Linked DNA regions of Sus scrofa. The protein of the gene in region 2 purifies or fractionates together with the protein of the main gene of each other region. This does not show direct contact. Links are inferred from orthologs where the notes say so. Each region holds a gene or a part of one and is shown on either strand. Other genes may lie near its edges.

Region 1 (6,891 bases), on a different chromosome or scaffold from region 2:
TCCCATCATGGCGCAGTGGTTAACGAATCTGACTAGGAACCATGAGGTTGCAGGTTCGGTCCCTGCCCTTGCTCAGTGGGTTAACGATCTGGCGTTGCTGTGAGCTGTGGTGTACGTTGCAGACGTGGCTCGGATCCCACGTTGCTGTGGCTCTGGTGTAGGCCGGTGGCTACAGCTCCGATTAGACCCCTAGCGTGGGAACCTCCATATGCCGTGGGAGCGGCCCAAGAAAATGACAAAAAGACAAAAAAATAAATAAATAAAAAATAAATAAATAAATTCACCAAACTAGATGTCATCACCCAAGAAAACCTACTCTCAAGAAAAAAGAAGAAGAAACCCTACTCTAAACTTTGGTTACAAAAGAAGATGCTTTCATCTACCTCAAAAGATTGCTGCCAAGATTCAATGAAATTGCACAGGGCAAGAGTTCCCGTCGTGGCGCAGTGGTTAACGAATCCGACTAGGAACCATGAGGTTGCGGGTTCGGTCCCTGCCCTTGCTCAGTGGGTTAACGATCCGGCGTTGCCGTGAGCTGTGGTGTAGGTTGCAGACGCGGCTCGGATCCCGCGTTGCTGTGGCTCTGGCATAGGCCGGTGGCTACAGCTCCGATTTGACCCCCAGCCTGGGAACCTCCATATGCCGCGGGAGCGGCCCAAGAAATAGCAACAACAACAACAACAAAAAAAAAAGACAAAAGACAAAAAAAAAAAAAAAAGCTGGATCAGTCTCCCTTCACCAAGACAATTCTTTAGGAGTTCCCACTGTGGTACAGTGGGTTAAGAATCTGACTGCAGCCGCCCAGGTTGCTGCAGAGGCACAGATTCAATTCCTAGCCTAACTCAGGGGATTAAAGGATCCAGCATTGCTACAGCTGCGGCGTAGGTTCAGATTCAATCCCTGGCCCAGAAACTTCCATATGCCGTGGGTGCAGCCATTAAAAAAAAAAAGAAGAAGAAGAAGAAGACAGTTCTTTAGATTCAGTTGCGTTTCTTTACCATGAATTCTCTACGTGAAGAAAAAACTGTATCACAGGATTGTACACCTTGGCCTTCTCTGAGGGGCTGAGGCTCCATGACCCCTAAGGTGCCTCTAGCTCTAAAGACTGACCTGTGTCTCACAGGGGTCAAGATTACTCTCCTTAGCGTGGACCTTAGCCTACCTCCTCGTCCACTCCACTCCCCCATGCCTGCACACCTGCTTTCAGGAATGACAGCACATAGTTCATGACTGAAGTTTTTTGAAAGACCCAGTTTCCATTTACAGCAGTGTGGATGGACCTAGGGAATATTAAGCTTAGTAAAATAAGTCAGACAGAGAAAGACAAATACTATATGATATCACTTGAGGAATAAAAAATAATACAAATGAATGTATAAGCAAAACAGAAACAGACCCACAGATACAGAAAACAAACCAGTGGTTACCAAGAGGGGAGTGCAAATTAGGGGTATGGGATTAAGCGATACAAACTACTACATATAAAATAGATAAGCAACAAGGATATATTGTATAGCACAGGGAATTATACCCATTACCTCACACTTTTCATCAAGATCATCTAAAAATACTAAATCACTAGGCTGTATACTTGAAACTAATCATACTATAAATCAACTATACTGCAATAAAAAAAATTTAAAAACCTAGTTTCCACTCACTTCACATGCAGATTTGAGTTGAATGTATTCATCCAAATTAAAGTTTCTGAATATTCTGAACGATCCAATTAATTGCTGTAAAACTTTACATGCCCTGAAGAAAAAATTTTTTAAAAGAGACACAATGACCAAGTGTCAAAAACAGATTTGTAACTCCTAACCACAAAAAGTAAAATGGGGGGGACTAGGGAGGGGACTGCTTTTTAAGGGCCACACCCATGGCATATGAAGTTCCCAGGGTAGGGGTTGAATCAAAGCTATAGCTGCTGGCCTGCGCCACAGCCTCAGCAACACCAGATCTCAGCTGCATCTGCAACCTACACCACAGCTGACAGCAAGGCCAGGGATCGAACTCACAACCTCATGGATACCGGTCGGATTTGTTTCTGCTGCACAGCAGGATTCCCAAATTTGGGGTTTTGACTAATGAAAATTATCTGCTCTATTTTAAAATCAGAAAATAGTTGTTCCCATCGTGGCACAGTGGTTAACGAATCCAACTAGGAACCACAAGGTTGTGGGTTCGATCCCTGGCCTTGCTCAGTGGGTTAAGGATCTGGTGTTGCCGTGAGCTGTGGTGTAGGTTGCAGATGTGGCTCGGATCCCACATTGCTGTGGCTGTGGTGTAGGCCGGCAGCTATAGCTCTGATTCGACCCCTCGCCTGGGAACCTCCATATGCGGCGGGAGCAGCCCTAGAAAAGGCAAAAAGACCCAAAAAAAAAAAAAAAAATCAGAAAATAGAATCACAAAAACAATCACATACAGTCAGAAATAACAAAAAATAAACGCAAACGCATTCATGGAAAATGAAAAAACAGTTTTTCTCTTTATAGGGCCGCACCCTCGGCATAGGGAGGTTCCCACGCTAGTGGCTGAATCAGAGCTGTAGCCACAGCCACAGCAACTCGGGATCCGAGCCGTGTCTGCGACCCACACCACAGCTCATAGCAACGCCGGATCCTTAACCCACTGAGCGAGGCCAGGGATCGAACCCGCCACCTCATGGTTCCTAGTCAGATTCGTTTACCACTGTGCCACGACAGGAACTCCAAGAAAACTTTTATTTAAAAAGGTAACTGCTACCACTAATTAATTGTTCACATATTTAGGTTTTATGTACTTTTAAATTTTATGTAATTCAATTTTAGTAACTTAAAATTTTAAACTTATTTCCAGAGAAAAAGCTGATCTTTTCAGTTCTCGTAGCAATGTCAAGACAGGAGCTCCTGTTTGACAGTTGCTTTTCATGCTTATTTTAACCATACTTTACAACCACTGAGTGTTGCGGGGCTTTAAAGTTCATCACAATCATTACACCATAAATCACAAGGTGTGTACTGCAATATTCACTTTTGAAAGAGCTGCAGATAGAGGTTAAATAACTCGTCCAAGGTCACCCAACAAGTCAGTGACAGAGTTGAGAGTAGGACTAAAACTTCAGCTCCTTGACTACTAACTACTTCACTTCTCCAATTCCGAAGGAGAAAAAATAAAGCCGCAATTTACTTTCAGTAATCTGCAACAACAAGATACCTCAAACGCAGCCGTACACTTACCATAAACACTACCAAAAAGATTCACCCAGAACAAATGAGACAACGTGTTACATACATCTAGATACCACGGTCACAGCCCTAGCTCTTGGAATCCAGCAAAAACTAAATCCCCAACAAGTTCACCCTTCAATATACACAATTTACTCTCACACTAATCGAACATGTATCAGTCAATCGATTATCACTGTTTCCCACGCCCAGGTGCTGGGAGGTACACTAATTTCCTCACTCTTCTAAGAGTCAACTCAAAGACCGCACATCTCAAAAGGAAGCAGCTGTCAATGAGAACGAAGTTATGTAGCCAGGGAAAGAAAAGCTCTAATAAGTTGCCCCTTTTGAAGAGACATGTTTAAAGGATGATTACATGCTTGACAGAATTACTGTTAAAACGCCCGCCAAGAAGAATGGTTCTAGTAAAGCAGCTTTTAAGGCAGAGCCCTCCCTGTTTGGGACACAGCCTGACTTGTTGGACAAGACTGATCTGGGCACGCTCGCACAGAACCCCTGCGAACCAGCGTAGTTCACCGCAAACGTCGTTGCCACCTAACTCTAGCACTCAGCCTGTCCCATGCTCTAAGGGACACGACCCTGTGACACCCTCTCAGGAGAAGGTTCCCTCCGCGGAAGCAGTGACAGCTGTCTTCCCACGGATGTTTCTGGACACAGTGTTACCATCAGAAGGAGGGGCTCCCAGGAAGTGTCAGTGCGGCAGCAGGTGGAGTAGCCCTTCGTGCCGAGCAGGTCCTTTCTGACCTATCTCAAGTGCTCCGCTTCCCAGCCCCGGTTCCGCCTTACAGGTCTTCCCAGGCCGCCCCGCGCCCCGGTTCCCTAACCCGGAGCGAGACTCTCAGCCCTCCCAGGAGGCGAGGCGGTCTCAACAGACTAGACGGCCACCCCACCTCTTCCGGGGACCCGCAGGCCCGCTCCCTGGCCGTGTCAGAGACGGACAGACCCTGCCGGAGGGGAGGCAGCCGGCGCCTTCTGAGGCCTCCCGGCCGGAACCCCGCGCCCCGCGGTCCCTTTCCACCGCCCCCACCCGTCCGACACCCCGCCGCCGCCCTCCTCACTCCCGAAGCCCCTTCCTCAGGCGCACTCCAGTGGAGTTACCGGCCCACTCAAAAGTAAGAGCGACGGCCACCCCCCCGGTCACCCTGGCCCCGCTGTCACCGCCCTGCTCCCGGCCTCGGCCCACGCCGCTGGCGAGCCCCGGTGACGCCCGGGTCGGTACCTTGCGGACCCCCTTGTAGATATAGAAGTAGAGCTCCCGGCCCACATTGAAGCAGAGGCGGTCGCCGTTGCCAGACTGGTCGTTGAGGTTTACGAAGGAGACGCGGACAGGGTTGGATCCCTGCGAGCTGAAGGGCACCCGGTTGGGCCGGCTGTACTCCGAGTGCGGCAGCAGCTTGTACAGACCTTCCCGGGTGGTGAATTGGGTCTTAATCTCGTTCATCTCCTTCCCTCCTCCCTCCGTCGCCATCTTGGAAAGCAGCGTTCATCCTGCCCTAAGTGCCCGGATCACGCCCACCGCGCAGGCGCCGTCTCGGGCTCCCGCGCTCCCCCCGCCCCTTTCTCCTGGCCCCTCCCACCTGCGAGCCGGCCCCGCGGAGGCCGGCGAGGAGAAGGGGACGGGCTTGTTTACGGCCCGACTGCGCAGGCGTGCTCACCTGGCGCGCTCCACGCGGCTGGGCGTGCGCAGGCTCCGCCCCCGGGCGCGGCCTCGGGGCGGGGCTGCGGTTGGGGGTCTGGGGGCGGGCCGGCCGTTCCACCGCCCCCGCCGCCCCCGAGCTGGCCTGCGGGAGGCGCTGACGTGAGCTCGCGTGGGCTGCTCAGCTGCCCCGGTCCTGACTTGCAGTCCTGGGACCCCCAGGGGCGGAGGAGAGCGCCGCCTCGGCCGCCGCCCAAGTCGGGGTCGGCACATGGGGTACCGTGAACAGAGCTCGGAAGCCCCCGTGTTCTACCCACGCGAGGGTGCGGGAGAGCCCCCTTCTTCTGGGGCCTCCCCTCGGCCCCCCGGCTGGACCGTCCGGACGCCTGGGTCAGGAAGCCCCTCTGCACCTGTGCATCCTGAGTTCGTTTCCGAGAAGGTACCGAAGACCCTGTTTTCCGCTTCATCATTCGTTTTTTCAGGCGAGGCGGCGGGGAAGGGAGTGTACCTGCCCAGCACCTGTGTTGTTAGCAAGTCAAATATCTGAATACCTCTCTGGGGTGAGCCTTGGCTAATTTAAGGAAAGCAGGTAGTGATGGCACGTCTGTTTTAAGTTTGTCTCCACCAGGTGTTTAGAGAAAGGAGGAGGGAAATGGCTTTGGGAACTAGGATCTAAATTAAGCAGAATTCAACTTCTCTTACTCAATAGTTTATCAGGAGCTCTTAGAAAAATTGGAGGCTGTTGATTTTTTTTTTAAGGCTTAAGCGGAATCTGCGAAATTGTTTGCCAGGCGTAGTTGTGTGGCTGTTCTGTACTCGGTCTAGACATGTAAGGACAGGCACACGTGTTGCAGATTAAACAATCACCCTTTTGTGCCCAGGCTTCTTGGCATGTTGCCCTGGAATGAGAAAGTTCCTAAAGTGACAGAAACATTAATGATAGAATGTGGGGGTGTGGGTGGGGGAGCCAGCATTTGTTACACGAAGAGTGATCCATCCCTTTGTGTTCACATCACACCTGGAGGATCACAGAAGAAGTGGAGGGGGGTAAGTTCGCAGGTAAGAGGCGTCTAAATCATAAACATCCTGTCTTGCAAAGCAAGCAGGTGCCAGTGGCAACTGTACCAGTGATGTAATAATGCATTTGACACCAACGCCCTGTGTCCTCTGTCCATGTTGTCAGAACACTAGAGTCACCTCCCCTTAATGAGACCTAAAATGCCTCAGATGTTTTGTTACAGTTGTTTTCATGTTGTCTGGCTTCTGCTAAAAGTCAAACAGGTATCAGCAGTCTTATAAAATGCCGGAATGTATTCTGAGGTCACCATAGATTTATCCGCATTTCTTATAACTGTGTTGTTTTACATTGAAAGTGTGTATTACCTTCCTTGAGGGATAGTCACATTCGGAAACACCTAAAAACAATTCAGCTGTGTTCCCTAGTTATCAAGGGGGGAAACGTGCAATAATACTTTTTGAAGGAAGAAAAAAAAACTCAGCAAGCAAAAATGAAAACATAAAAATTACATCAGCCTTCAATTAACCATAATACCTGTATAGCTTAGGCTTCTACTCAGGTTTTGTTTTTTGGTTTTGATAGGGTTTTTTGGCCATGCCCACAGTATGTCAAAGTTCCCAGGCCAGAGATCAAACCCAATCCATAGTTAAAGCCAGAGCCACAGCAGTGTCCTTAACTGGCTGACCATAAGAGAACTCCTGTGGCTTATTCTATATAAATTTAACATTTTCTTGTGAACACAATAATAAGCTGCTCTCCTTGTCCCATCCAAAGCCTTTGGATAATCTCTATTCTTAACACATTTTTCTCTTGTTGTCTTTCCTCCCCAACACATACTCAAGGATTCAGTATTCACTACCCAGATATATACAGCTGGCCATGACCTAAAGTTCATTTCTGATATTTAGTTTCAAACCAGGCATTTCTAAATGGATTTGTGCCTCAAATTCATCAGTCTTTGAAGCTTATCAATTCCCTTCCATATCTTCAAAGTTGAATGGTATAATGGC
Region 2 (7,099 bases):
CACAGCGAAAACGATAAATTAATTCAATAAAACAAAAAGTAATAAATATCATTAAATTTTTTTTAAAAAAGCCACTGTAAACCAACTATAATGGAATAAATAAAAATCATTAAATTAAATAAAAGGAAATAAAATAAAATAAAAAGTGAGCGAATAACATCTTCTAACCAGGAGAGGATGGGCTGTCAGCACAGAGACCAAGGAGCATGTATGACAGCTCTCTGTAAAGAGAGAGACCAACCCCGTGTGTGTGTACAAGTGAGCGTGTACATGTTCCAGGCCAGATGTGCATGAGGAGCTGTGCAGAAAACCCAAGGCAGGCTACTTACATTGGTTTCTTCAAGGGTTTCAGTGGAGGGATAGTCACTTTTTCATTGAGATCGTTACGTAGTCTCTGGATTCAGCTTATACTATGTAATTTTTTTCATTTCAGGGCCCCATCTGCCTCATATGGAACTTCCCAGACTAGGGGTCAAATCAGAGCTGCAGCTGCCGGCCTACACCACAGCCACAGCAACACCAGATCCGAGCCACATCTGTGACCCACACGGCAGCTTGCAGCTCCTTAACCTTCTGGCAAGGCCAGGGATGGAACCCAAATCTTCACAGACACTCTGTCAGGTTCTTAACCTGCTGAGCCACAATGGGAGCTCCGCACTGTGTAATTTTTAGGAATGATTTAATAAAAGGAAGAGGTCATCCTCTTCAAACTCACCCAAAGGAAGGCTCTGGGATCTAAGGCTCTGGGATCTTTGGTTTGTGTGTGAGGGGAAACCCTGGGGCACCCCCCTGCATGAGAACAGGTGCTCGCTGGTGTCTTTGGGAGGAGGAGCCTGGCACCTGTATCCGGTCTTCCGGGAGCTCAGTCTTCACAGCCAGCATTTCCCGGGCATACACGTCGGGGTAGTGGGCCTCGCTGAAGGCCTTCTCCAGCTCCTCCAGCTGGTGGGCAGTGAAAACCGTCCTGCAGGGAGGCCCAGATGCTTGAGTGGGCACCTGCCCACCTCCAAGGACACTGTGCTTCCCCCCACCCCCGCCCTCGCCACATTGTCCACAGCCTGGAAGTCCAGCTCATGATAACTGGACCCCCCACCTCTGAATGGTTAGCCTCTGGAAAATCTGCAATTTGATTCAAACAAAACAGTTTTTTAGGTCTTTTTCTTTTCCTTTGGCCATACCCACAGTGGCTGTTTCGGGGGCTGGGGATCAAAACTGTGCCACAGCAGTGACAACATCAGATCCTTAACCCACTCCATCAGCTCACTCTAAGAAAACATTAAAGGCCCACAAAATTGTGTCTGTAAAATGCTACAAAGACAGACCTGCGGCCCCCTGGGAATCACAGAATTACGTTCCCAAGTGGCTACTGTGCCCTTTCCACTGCAGACTAGGAGGCCCTGGGCCTACCCTAACTCGCAGGACCAGACAGTCTCAGATGCTGAGTCCCAAGGACAGGGGCAGGGCAGGTACCTGTGCCTTCGCTTCTTCCTCTTGCCGGGGGTGGGGGGCAACTTCAGGTCACTCCTATCTTCAGGCAGGCTGTCCTCTTCTGTCAGCACAAGAGGAAAGAGGGGACTTTAAAGGCATGCATACTTTTTTTTTTTTTTTTTTTTTTTGTCTTTTTAGGGCCATGCTTGCAGCATATGGAGTTTCCTAGGCTAGGGGTCCAATCGGAGTTGTAGCCTCTGGCCTACGTCAGAGCCACAGCAATGTAGGATCTGAGCCTCGTCTGTGACCTACACCACAGCTCCTGGCCACACCGGATCCTTAACACACTGAACAAGGCCAGGGATCAAACCTGCGTCTCATGGATGCTAGTCGGGTTCGTGAACCACTGAGCCACAATGGAAACTCCAAGGTGCACATATTTTTCACTTTTTTTCTGGATCTTAATTTAAGGGTTGAAGCTATGAACCTGTCCAGATGTGAATACTTAATAACACAAGCCTGCATTTTTCACACTCACCGTATTCCAGGTGCTGTAGCTTAGGTGCATTGCCTATACATCACCATTTTTCTTCATAAATTAAAAGAACTCTCTTTTTACAAAGGAGGAAACCAAGGCAGAGAGAGATTAAGTAACTTACCCAAGATTACATAGGTGGTCAACAGTGAAGCTGGGATTCAAACCCCAGACTGTATGAAGCCAAAGCTACATGAACACCAAATGCATTTCCTGTCCCCTTTAGCTTCCAAATCCATCCACTTCTTTCTGCCTCCATCTCAGCTTCCTCATCTTAACCAACACACCATTTCTCAAAGGGAGGGCCAAGGTTTGTGATATCAGGGCTAGTTCCCTAACCTACTGTTCCAATTCCAAATCTCTGGAAGTGAGGTCCAGAAAGCTCATTCTTGGCTAGGGTGCCCAGGTGATTCATAGATGCACTCAAAGAATCTTAAGAATGTTTTATCTTTTGAAATAAATTATATCAAAAGATTTTTCTAGGTTGAGGGAGTTTCCAACATGGCTCACCAGTAATGAACCTGACTAGTATTCATGAGGATGTGGGTTCAATCCCTGGCCTTGCTCAGAGGGTTAAGGATCTGGCATTGCAGTGAGCTGTGGTGTAGGTCGCAGATGCAGCTCGGATCCTGCATTGCTCAGGCTGGGGCGTAGGCTGGCAGCTGCAGCTGTGATTCAACCCCTAGCCTGACCCACAGATGGATCCTAAAAATAAAAAAAAAATTTTTTAATTAAAAAAAATATCTAGGTTGAAAGGAAGATTAGAAGACCAAACTATTGGCAGATTCATTGTTAAAAAAAATATTTGCTTCAAAACACTAAAAAGTGAATTAATAATGGCAAAAAACAGTAAAATAATGTTTTACTTCTACATCAATTAGTTCACCAGAAACTTGGATTACAATATAGTATTTGTGCTGTCCAGTCTGGACACATAAGTTTTTTGAGATATGAAATGTGGCCCATCTGAATTGAGACCTGCTGTAAATGTGAAATATTTGGTGTATTTTGAAGATCTAATACCCCCAAATAAACTATTAACAATTTTTATATTGATTACATGTATAATAATATTTTCTGTGTATTGAATTAAATAAAATACAGTATTTAGGTTTGTTTCACCTATTTATTTCTCCTTTTCCAGGTAGGTTTGAGAAATTTTCATTACTCTTGAAGTCACATGTTTCTACTGGACAGTGTTGGTCTTGATCTTGCAGAAATGCCCTCATAGACTAGGATGTGGTGGCATTTTGCCTTCAGCTTTGTCAGTATTCACAGAGAAAGAACCCACCCTATGAAGGTGGTCTCTGCATTTCTAGTGAAACAACTACTAGAGGGCTTCATTTTATCTTACCTAGAGACTCATGAAATAAAGTCCATTCATTTTTTACCTTTATTTTTATTTTTACCTTCTCATCTGGGGTACATGAAAGTTCCCAGGCTAGGGCTTGTATCATAGCCGCCGCAACATCAGATCCCAGCAGCACCTGAGACCTACACTGAAGCTTGTGGCAGAGCGCTGGATTCTTAACCCACTGAGTGAGGCCAGGGATGGAACCCCCATTCTCACAGAGACAACCATCGGTTTTTAACCCACTGAAGAGACAGCAGGAACTCTCATAACGTGAAAGCTGGCCTGCCTCTGATCCAATCTGCTTCCTCTAGACATCGATAGAGAGCCATGTAAACCTGCCTTGGCTGAGGGATGCTCAGCTCTGGGGTCTATACAAAGTTTATGTGCGCCCACCTTTTCGCTGGTAATTCTTAGTTCTCTCCCCCCTCCCGCCCCAAATCTCTCTATTTCATGGCCGTGTCTTTATAGAGTTCCACTGCTCCCTTCTCTTCTCCACTATCCTCCCTGACTTCTCTGAGGAGCCCGGCACTGCTGCCATAGACCGAGGAGCTTGTTTCTCCTGAGCCAGAGGGGCAGAGAAGCGCGGGACCCCCACGCCTATTTCAACTCTAGGAGGACAGTTCCAGGCCTCCACCTCGTGCTCTTCAAAGGCCAGTCAATGAGTCCATCAATTCAGGGAATGCTCAAGCGCTGGTTGGTACTGGGTTCGGTGTGCTGACAAACCAGGCGGGCCCAGGCCTCCCAACCTCCGCTGTTCCCTGATCCTCGCGGGGAACACTCCCCCACCCCCAAGACCCCAGGGCAGATTCGCACCGGGTTGTAGGGGTGTGTGCAGGGCGGCGGCGACCAGGCCCAGAGGAGAGGCAGGGATGTGGGCAAAGCCAAGGGCAGAGGGTGCTCCCTGGCGGGGCCACTCTGGGGTCCCGACTTCCCTGGATCTGGGGAGATGAGGTGGGGCTCGGCGGGGTGCTGAGTGTCACCCTGCGCACCACGCCGAGGCAAGGGGCAGGAGCGGCACGGACTGGCCTCATTACCGGACGTCGAGACGCTCTCGCTGCGCTTCTGACGGATGCTCGTGGGCGGTGAGCGGCCGAGGACGTGCGGGGCGGGGGGCTCAGGCCCCTCGGGCGGCAGGAACGGCACATCGGCTAGAAGCAGGCAGGGCGCCCCGGCAGCCGCAGGGGGCTGCGCACCGAAGCTGCAGAGGAGGCCGAATCCCAGCGGGAGGGCCCCGCGCGCCAAGCCAGAGTCCCCGAGCCCTGGACCGGCGCAGGGGGCAGCCGCGGGGCCTTCGCAGCAGGATCCCGGCCCAGGGCCTGCAGGTGCAGGCAGCTCGGCCTCCAGGCCCAGCAAGTCAGTGATGGCGAAGCCCCGGGGGCGCGAGCCAGTGGGCGGGCCTCCGGGCACCAGCGCCCTGCTCCTGGCACACCCGTCGGAAAGCGCGTCCCGGCCAGTCATGGCTTACTGGGCGGCGGGGCTGAACTCTCTCGGTCACCTTTGCGGAGGGGGCGCAGTTCTGAGGACGCTTTATACAGTCAGGAGCCAGGAGGGCTCCAATCAGCGGGGTGCGGGCGCGTCACGCCTCGGACCCCGCGAGATGGGGACGCCACCAGTTCCCCTCCCTTCGGTCGCCGCCCTCCCAGCTGCAGTCCCGTCAATCGGCCCCCATCCCTCTCCCCTCTCCTTTCCAATTGTCCCTCTGCCCACCCTGTTCTTGGTGGGAGGAAAATAGAGAGGGGAGGACCGGCTCTCTGGCCATCTCTCTAAGAGCCGCAGGTTCCAGATCCCGGCGTGGTCTTCTCTCCCCTTCTCGGCTCTCGGGTGGAGGCCCCTGCTTGCAGCTGCCCTGGAGCCTCCCTGCCCCCATCCAGTCACTCGTTAAGACCTAGGGCCTATTCCCTGCCGCTCTTTGACTACTATCACTAAGACCCCCGCCAGCCCTCCAACACTACCGTCACCGCGGACAAGACCTTCCTCGAAATTCCCAAGGGGAAAGGAGTGGAAAACGTTTATTTAATCAGTGCCCACTCCACCTCCAGCCATTGGCGGAGGCTGGCCATCGGCGCCATCGGGCCATCAGCTTGTCGCAAAATTCACTGGAGCTGGAGAAGGAATAGGAAACAGAGGCTGGGGCAGATGGACCCCGCCGGAACTGCGGGGAAGGGCGCCACGTTTAGCAAACTAAATTCCAGGAGGTGCAGTGAAATCACAATTTCAGATGAAGTCACTTTAGAAATATGTATAAGAACGTATCTGTATTTTATCTGGCGACTCCTAAATGGGGAGAGTAAATTGGAAAATTGGGCCTGTGTACTGAGACCCATCCCACTTCACGGAGGCTAACAAATTATTGTTTCATGATTATTCAAAGAAAGCCTGATTTTCATGTGAAATGCCCGTGTTTGTTCAAGATGCAAAACGAAGCACGTGGGTAAAATTCTCCTGGCTCACACGCCAAAAAGTTGAGCCCACCCAACCAGATTCGCTGGGAGCCCTGAGCCCACCCTTCTCAAACAAGGAAGGAGGGAAGCAAAACCTGTCATTCCCACCCTGAGGGCGAGCAGCCGGCGGCCGCCCAGCGAGGGACGCAGCAGCTCTCCCAGCGCCCCGCGGACGCCTCTCGGGTCTCTGCGCGCCTCCGAGGCCGAGGGGAAACCCGAGCAAAGGGGATCTCCCGCTGGCCACGCCTGGGGCTGGATCCTCTGCAAACCCAAGGATTAAACCAGGGGCTTCCGATAAAGATAATTACAAGAGGCTGCGCATTAACTTTTCATTATTAAAAGAAGACCCAAATCTCTCCTCGCAAGCTGTTCCCTGGATTAACAAAACAATAACTTTCCTTTGGGATAATTGTCCTTTGAGTCGCTCCGGGTCGGGGGCAGCTTTAGAAGCCGGCGTCCTTTTTGGCTCCGCCAGGAATTTCTCCCCAAATTTATCTCTGGGTTTAGGGAAAGGTGTTGAGTGTACAGAACCCAGCCAAAATGCTCTGGCTCTTGGCCCGGCAAAGCAGTAGTTTGTGAATCAGAATTTGGGGCCGCAGTTAAGGATGACATTTAAGATGCACATATTTACAGACTGTGCTGGGGAGCTGGTGGGACAAACACACCTAAAGGTGGCCCCGCCCGGGGCATTGGCAGGATCGGGTCTCAGAGGCAGATGTGTGCTCGCGGTGTCTGCTGCTAGGACAGCCGAAGGCTCCCCCTCGCCTGGGCCCAGGATTCCAAGTCTCTGAACACAGCCTCTGCCAGGGGAGGCCTCGAGTAGATGGCCATAGACCCAGAGGTACCGAAAGGCCATCCAGGAGGAGCCCAACTTCAGCCACCCCACATGGTGACCACCACTCAGGGCCAACAGCACACGGGTTTCCAACTCCTTCGGAAGTATATTACAAAACCCATTTTGCAGATGAGAGAAAATGAGGTGTATTAACCCGCTCGCATCTAATATGAGAGAAAAACCGGGAGAGCGAAGCAGAAAGAGACCCGAGGGAGACCCAGGGTTGGGGCTGTAATGGGACCTTGCAATTTCTGGACAGGAGAGTCACTGCCGCCTCCTCCGGCCCCACTTGGAGGAAGGAGCCCTAGGGAGGGACCAGAGTGTGGGGAGAACGGAACTTTGGGAGCTTTCTTTTCCGCGGCAAGGCAGCGCTGGGAGTGCGGCGCTGGAGGGCACTCACTTCCCCCACCCACGTTAATCCGCACCCCACTCCCACCCCCAGCTGCCGCGGAGGATCGCGGGTCCACTCGCGCCCCCACCCCAGTGGATTGGCTCAGCGGTGGGAG
Region 3 (7,180 bases), on a different chromosome or scaffold from region 2:
ATTTTTAATGTCCAATATGTATTTTAGCCAAATTCAAAAGATCAGCAGGCTTATAGAAAGCTTATTCTAAACATTCTCTCCACTGAGGTTTTCAAACACAAGTTTAAACATTACTTATCGTTATTTAACCATTTATGATAGAAGACTTATTTTTGAAGTTTTCTCATCAGAATGATTTGTGGTGCTTTTTTTTATTATAGTTGATTTAAAATGTTTATTTTTGCAGTTTTCATCCCTCCTAAACTAACATTAAAAACAGCAAAATTAAGACTTCCCGTTGTAGCTCAGCCAATTAGGAACCCAACATAGTGCCCATGAGGATGTGGGTTGGATCCCTGGCCTCGCTCAGTGGGTTAAGGATCCAGCAATGCCACAAGCTGCAGCATACATTGCCAATGTAGATCTCCAGATCTGGCGTGGCTGTGGCTGCAGCGTAGGCTGGCAGCTGCAGCTGCGATTCCACCCCTAGCCTGGGAACTTCCATATGCCAAAGGTGTGGCTGTAAAAAGAAAAAGAAAAAAAAAAAAGAAAAATGGGAGTTCCCGTCGTGGCTCAGTGGTTAGCAAACCTGACTGACTAGCATCCCAAGATGGGGGTTCCATCCCTGGCCTCGCTCAGTGGGTTACGGATCTGGCATTGCTGTGAGCTGTGGTGTAGTCACAGACTCGGCTCAGATGGCTCAGATCCCACGTTGCTGTGGTGGAGGCCGGCAGCTGCGGCTCGGATTGGACCCCTCACCTGGGAAGCTCCGTATGCCGTGAATGCAGCCCTAGAAGGAAAAATAAAGACACATAAGAATGAAGGCAAAATAAAAACGCATGTTTTTAAAAGAAGAATTACATCCACATCACTTCTTGAGAAGGAATAGAGAAAGTTATTACTCAGTATAACCTTCCGACTCTATGAAGACACTACCCCCACCCCCACGAACAAGGCAGGGGCTTGGAGGGTTTCCTCTCGGCCTCTTTCTGGAGGGATAAGCTGCACCAACCATACAGACAGCTGACCCTTCGTCGGTGACCCCGGGGAGACTCAAATAGTAAGAAAAGACCGTCAGTCTCACCTGGGACTTGTCTGCAGTAAGTACAGTTCAAGTCACCACCTCCAGCCCCTGCGCTAGACACAGGCTTTTCAGAAACAAACCTGTCGGACCCACGGAGCAGCTGACTTGTGGCCTTGGCCTCGCTGCCACCATGTCCTGGGGACGGAGCTGACCCCCAGGGGCTAAAGGCGGGCAAAGAGCCAGGCCAGGGCTTAAGCTCCCCTGTAACGACTTCTTCCTTACCCAGAGTGTGAGCCCCCCCAACACCCTCTTCCCAGCTGGGACTCCCACAACCCAGCAGGGAGAAAGGACGGCCCTCCCACCCCGCTGTGCCATCTAGGGTCACGGTCACTTTCCAAGCGGCTCTACAACTTCCACTGTGATTTCAAAGCATAGGCCCCACTACACGTATTCGGTTGCTTTCCCCACTATTTCACAACTATGAAGTATAATATTAAACATTTGGAAGCTACTCTAGGCCCTGAAATCTGAAGCTACTGCAGTGGCAAAACAAGCACCTTGGGATACTGAAATTATTTCATGGACAAATAACAAGAGCCACTTCTAGAAGTACCCTGCAAATCCATCCACTGCCGTCTAAACTTAACCACACTCACTCGGGTGGAGCTGTTAACACTTTAGAGAAACAAACTAAGGTTCCCAAATCAGCAGAGCCGGTGGCAGACCACAAGAGGCACCTGAAGAGCTTCCCTGTTCACAGTCACTTAGCCCAATTAAAGGGCTGCTGATTCGCCCAGGGGCCTTATGTGGACACATGAAAGATTTACGTCAACTTTATTATTTATAGAACAAAATGTCAACTCATTACAAATGTGTTCACAGCTGCCCATTCTCTGAAAGATCATTCTCTTCAGGTCCAGCCCCTCTTCTCTCCACCGCCCCACACACAAGCCCAAGCTCACTTCCCCCAGACATCGGGGAGCAGAAACCAAGGACCCAGGAACGCTGTCCTGCACACAGGAGTTAGTGCTCCACCAAACCGCAGAAATAAACGAGAGACCTTCCACTTAGGGCCTCCGCAACCTAATAAGGAGATAAGAGAAAAATGTACAACACAGCAAGTGTGGTAAGCGCTGCTGAGATTACAGAAAGGCTGTGAAATTAGACGGGGAGGGGGGGGGACGGACGGACAGGCCTCTGATGCTTCAAGGCTACCCGCTCGAGAGACAGCCATGAACTTGCCAGACATCTGTACAAGCGCAGAGGTAAGTATCTCTGCTTTTCTTGATTATCAATCTTGTCATTCTCAGACGACAGACGGCGGTTCTCTTGAAGAATAAACTGCAGGTTACTTTGAGATGTTCAACACTATCTTGGGAGCGCATCAGAATTTCTTCTAGTGAGAACACAGACACACCCAATCTGAACACTACTTCTGGAGCAATCTCATTTGGCTGGGCACCGATGTTTCTGTATCTGCCAACAATACCCACACACCACATGCAACTAACGCACCCCGAGCGAAAGCCCTAGAAAGAGTTTTGGAGTCTACAATTCTTGAGATCATAATCCCACTTACTCCGTATTTGACGTGGCAAATCCCTCTGCGCCTCATTTTCTGAATCTGATTAGAGTATATATTAATATGGTTATGTGAATACAGTTTGTCTTCCTTAACTAGGATGTCAACACCAGGAAAGCAGAGACTGGCTGGACCACTGCTGTCTCCCCAGCGCTCTGCATACCCTCTAGCACTTGGCAGGTGCTAAACGGGGATGAACAGGCAGCAAAGGGTAACACATCACTCCAGAAACTAGACTTTGACAGTGAACCATGACCTGACAATCTGTGCAGCTCAGCAATCCGGCAACATTATCGCTTTCCAAGATGTAATTATCACATTCTTTTTGAAGCAGAATAAGATAATAATTGGCCTACCTAAAAATAATTAATGTACATGACCCCCCGAAATCCCTCTAACATCGTCCCTTTAATATCAAGGCTTTCCTAAAATGTGACTTGTGAGAGAAAAACAAACATCCGTTTGAGGAAACGGGTTCTTCAATGATTCATCCTTCAGTGTGATTTAATACTGTAGACTTTAATCCCACCTGATTTCAGCCATTTTTTATACGGTTCCTCGGCGTGCTGTATAGAATCTGCTTCTAAAGCCTCTCTCCTATCTGATTCACCATTCAGCACTTCTTAAAGGTATGTGCAAGGTCCCACCCCTAATTTTAAACGGAAGATTGTTTGGGGAACCTGCTATAAGCGTTGAAAAGGGTTGGTAAGACGTAAAAAAGAAGGAAAGATATCAGAAGTCTTTGATAACATAATCACTGGGCCCGCGTTGCAAAGGATAACTTTTCTGTGATGACTCATAATTAAGAGCGCTAGATCTAAGTCCTAAGGAGCTAATGAAACCAATCTGCCCCACCGTGTGGAAAGCTGGTCCTTCTGCTCGAGCACCGAGCACCGGATTGAAACGCACCCAGGTTTTGCTTAACTCGGGACTTTTCAACAGGCATTAGCACTTTCCCCTTAAAGTGGATTTCAGAGCTCCGGTGAAACACACACAGCAACCCTCGCCGTCAGCTCCTGCAAAGAAATACTTCCAGCCACACACGGATGCGTCTGGGGCATTAAAGTAAACAAATGACAGGAATGCTGAAGCCGTTTCCAAGGTTTACGTGGATTCCCCACGACAAGACCGCCACCTGGGCTCAGGGTTGCAAATGGGAGCTCGTTCCTCTCAGGAAGGGTAGAAAAGGGGGGGGAATTTCACCAGCACTTATTTAAAGTTTCCACCTTCACACACACCCCTTCCCTCGGCACCGGCGGGGGGCTCGGCCTCGCCCGCGGCGCGGAGAGGAAACCTGCGCCCGACTTCCGTCCCCTCCGGGCCGGGGAGGAGACCCTGCCTTCCTGCCGCAGCCCCCACGCCCGCCGGGGACCCTCCCCGCCCGGCCCGGCCCGGCCCGGCCCGGCCCGGCCCCGCCGGACGGAAAGGCGGGCGCTCCTCGCGTCCTTCCCCTCCGACCCCGGCCGGGCCCGCGGCCCCGCTCGCGCGCCCACAGCCCGGGTGCCTCGCCGCTCCGCCCCGGCGCCGCGGGGACCGGGGGCCGAGCCCCAGGCGCCGACGACCGGCGCCCACCCCGCCGGCCACCCGCGCGCCGCCGTCCCCCGGGGCCGCTCCGCTCGCGTCCGGCCGTCCAACCGCCCCCGCCCGGCCCGCGCCGCCCCCGCCCGGCTGCGGCTCCGCGCTAGGCCCCGCGGGCGGCGAGGGGCGGGGACCAGGGCCGCCGGCGGGGTCCCGGGCCGCCCGCCGCCCCCCCGCCGCACCTACCATGGTACAGATGGAGGCGAATTTGGAGACTGTCATTAGGATTTCCATCCGCCCAGCGCCATCTTCCACCCAATCACAGCGGCGGCGGGCGGGGGAGGAGGAGAGCCTGGCCGCCCGCTCGCACCGCAGCCCGCGGGCGGACCCCGAGCCGCCGCCGACGCACGCACCGAGCCTGCTCAGCCGCCGCTGCCGTCGCCGCCGCCGCCGCCGCCGCCGGCACTCCCCGCCGCGGGCCCTAGCCCCCGCCTGCCGCCCGCCCGCCCCCGGCTCCTCCCCGGCGCAGGGCGCAGCCGCTGCCTCGGGGCCCGCGCCTGCCCGCGAAGCCGCCCGCCGCACACCCCGCCCAGCGCGCTGGGGAGCGGGCTCCGCTGAGGCCCTAATGCCCGGCCTGCCCGGCAGCTGCGCGGCCCCGCGGCGCGCCCCGCCCACCGCCGCGCGCCCCGCCCACTCCCCCTCCGGCCCCGCCCACTCCCCGAGGAAGCCTCTCCAGCCGCCGAGCGCGCGCGAGTCGGGGAGCTCCGGCGTCGGCTCCACCCCGCGCGCGGCCGGGGAGGGGCTCGCGCGGGCCCTGCCTCCCGCCCGCGTCCTCCGGGTCCTAGAGCGGGTGCGCGGGGAGAGGGGCGCCGGGGGCGATGAGGGCCCTCGGCGGCCGTCGTGCAAGGGGCTGCCCCGCAGCCTCTACCGAGGGCCCTGTCCAGACAGAAAACTGAAGGGGCGGTCTCAAAATTCTGGGTGCGGCGGGAGGAAACGTGCTCGTAAACGGTCAAAATAGCGAAGGTCATAGAGAGTCCCAAACAGCTAGAATGTAAGGTGGTTTGTTTCTTTTTACGCACATTGGGTGGATCACCTAGGTCAAAATACCGAAATGTAGCAGAAGACAAGTTCATTACATAAAAATGAAAGCGGCAAAGAAGAAACTATATACGCTTAGTTCTTTGAATTAAGAAAGGTCAATTATGGGGAAGGGGGCAAAGCTGCTTTTCCTGTCTGCTTGTCGGCCATAAATTTAGAATATGGTTATAAATATAGTATCTAAATATACTGGTTCCAAAAGTTGAGTCGCAAAATAGGGAGGATGTCAACCCCGCGCTGATGATGTTCCCAGAGACGAGAAGTCCCGCAAGTTGAGAACAATGTCCTGTGAGAAAGAGAGATGGTGTTAGTCAGGGGGATAGTTCCTATGTGCCGTTTTTATAAAATGCATCATTGCACCCTGTTCTTTGTGCCAGACAGCTAGGCTTTATTTATTCCTATTTGCGAAAGAAGTTCAAGTTAGTAGCATAGCTTTACCAATTATTATATTAGAAAGCTTGTGATTTTTCACTGTTGGAGAACTCGTGGCGAGGGGCTTTTTGGGGTTCCTCGGTTTCACTGGGGCAGAAATTCAGACAGATCTCTAAAATCAGATATGCCTTAACTTGCAGGTTTAAGACATTCAAAAAACAAAACATTCAAACAAAATTTAGATGAAGAATAGATTTCTGGCACATGAATGCTGTTTCCACAGTGATTTCCACTATAAGCTTGCTTGGGGAGGGGGCGATTGCAAATAGAATATACCCAAGTCCCAGCGTAGCTGGCCCACTTCTCTAGGCACCTGCCTCCTTGATAGCCAGGCCCTCCCTCTATGCACTGATACACGCAAGCCAGTGCTAGAATGTGCCAGCACCACGCATTCAGGTACCTGGAGGGCTGGCCTCCCTATTCGCTGCCTAGACTTGGACTGGAGTAGTGCGTTATAGCCACACGGAAAGGCACAGGTGATACCATTGCAGAGCCTAACGGCAAAACTCACAGTGCCTCCTCCTCCCTGCGTAAGTTTGACTAGAAAGGCACAAACATAAAAAGAGAGGCTTCCACGTCCTAGGTGCTGTGCTGGGGTGTTTTTTCTTTCTTTTCTTTTTTTTTTTTTTTTTTTCCGCCATATATAATGCAGTTGAAGATAAGATTTAGCTGAAATGTCATACTTTTGCCCCAGAGCTTAAAAGGGATCATCTGGGGTTAGAATCGTTTTTAACCCGTAGTGGTATCAGCTTCACAAAGAGCTTCATTGTACGTAGGGAAAGATGAGTTTGTGTACAACCGCCTTCTTTGGGGCCTTCCTGAGTGTATAAGCTACAAATTATACTCAGATAAATTTAGGGACCAAGGAAGTAAACAAACTAGGGCCGAGTTTAAAATGGTTTCACTTGAATAATTGTACACAATCCTGTACTGTCCACTTCCTTGCAGGCCACTTCATCTTTTCCGTTATTCTCCCAGTCTCCAGTTAACCACGTGTTGCTGTGTATATTTCTTGCCTATGATGGAGGGGGAAGAAGTGAGGGGAGGGGTTGGAGAGGCATCCCTAAGGACAGGGAGTGCTCATCGAGGACTTAGCCCCATGCCCCAAGCATTTTCTCAAATCCCCATAACAACCCAGGAGAGGAGATGCCATTATCGTCCCCATTTTCTAGATGAGGAAACAGAGCCACGAGGTAAATTTCCCAAGGTTGCACAACTCGTAAGCAATGGAAACATGATTTTAACCTGGCTCCAGAGGCCACATCTGTATCCTTTCTGCTAACCAGCTCAGGTCAAAGTGCTTCATTTTGATTCTAGTAAAATGGGATTGAAAGGCACTGACTCTTTGGGGACCCATGTGCAGGTTTTAGCTACAAAATATACTCAGACAGCTATTTCTTTGTCTTACTTTCCTCCTCTGGAAAAGAAGGGTAATGACTATGCCTACCCCAAAGGGGTGCAATGAGGATAGAACACGGAGACAAGTTTCTAAGACGGCTTGCACGCAACGCAGACAGGACAGCGCTGAATGGACATTCGGTGTCAAC

Evidence for each region.
Region 1: the proteins of VSX1 (region 2) and WDR20 purify together in Homo sapiens (affinity purification with mass spectrometry; 3 studies listed by BioGRID and IntAct, with this or other methods). This does not show direct contact. The link is inferred for Sus scrofa from reciprocal best matches to the Homo sapiens genes VSX1 and WDR20.
Region 3: the proteins of VSX1 (region 2) and USP12 purify together in Homo sapiens (affinity purification with mass spectrometry; 3 studies listed by BioGRID and IntAct, counting the BioPlex papers as one, with this or other methods). This does not show direct contact. The link is inferred for Sus scrofa from reciprocal best matches to the Homo sapiens genes VSX1 and USP12.

What each region holds. Positions count from the first base shown.
Region 1 is NW_018084979.1:976,273-983,163, reverse strand, and holds the start of WDR20 (WD repeat-containing protein 20), read right to left. Parts: upstream 4,762-6,891; 5' UTR 4,696-4,761; coding exon 4,447-4,695; intron 1-4,446. UniProt on the Homo sapiens protein: Regulator of deubiquitinating complexes. Activates deubiquitinating activity of complexes containing USP12. Anchors at the base of the ubiquitin-contacting loop of USP12 and remotely modulates the catalytic center of the enzyme.
Region 2 is NC_010459.5:30,851,240-30,858,338, forward strand, and holds the start of VSX1 (visual system homeobox 1), read right to left. Parts: upstream 4,776-7,099; coding exon 4,352-4,775; intron 1,550-4,351; coding exon 1,471-1,549; intron 965-1,470; coding exon 841-964; intron 1-840. UniProt on the Homo sapiens protein: Binds to the 37-bp core of the locus control region (LCR) of the red/green visual pigment gene cluster. May regulate the activity of the LCR and the cone opsin genes at earlier stages of development. Dispensable in early retinal development.
Region 3 is NC_010453.5:4,685,031-4,692,210, forward strand, and holds the start of USP12 (ubiquitin carboxyl-terminal hydrolase 12), read right to left. Parts: upstream 4,762-7,180; 5' UTR 4,398-4,761; coding exon 4,350-4,397; intron 1-4,349. UniProt on the Homo sapiens protein: Deubiquitinating enzyme that plays various roles in the regulation of the immune response and inflammation.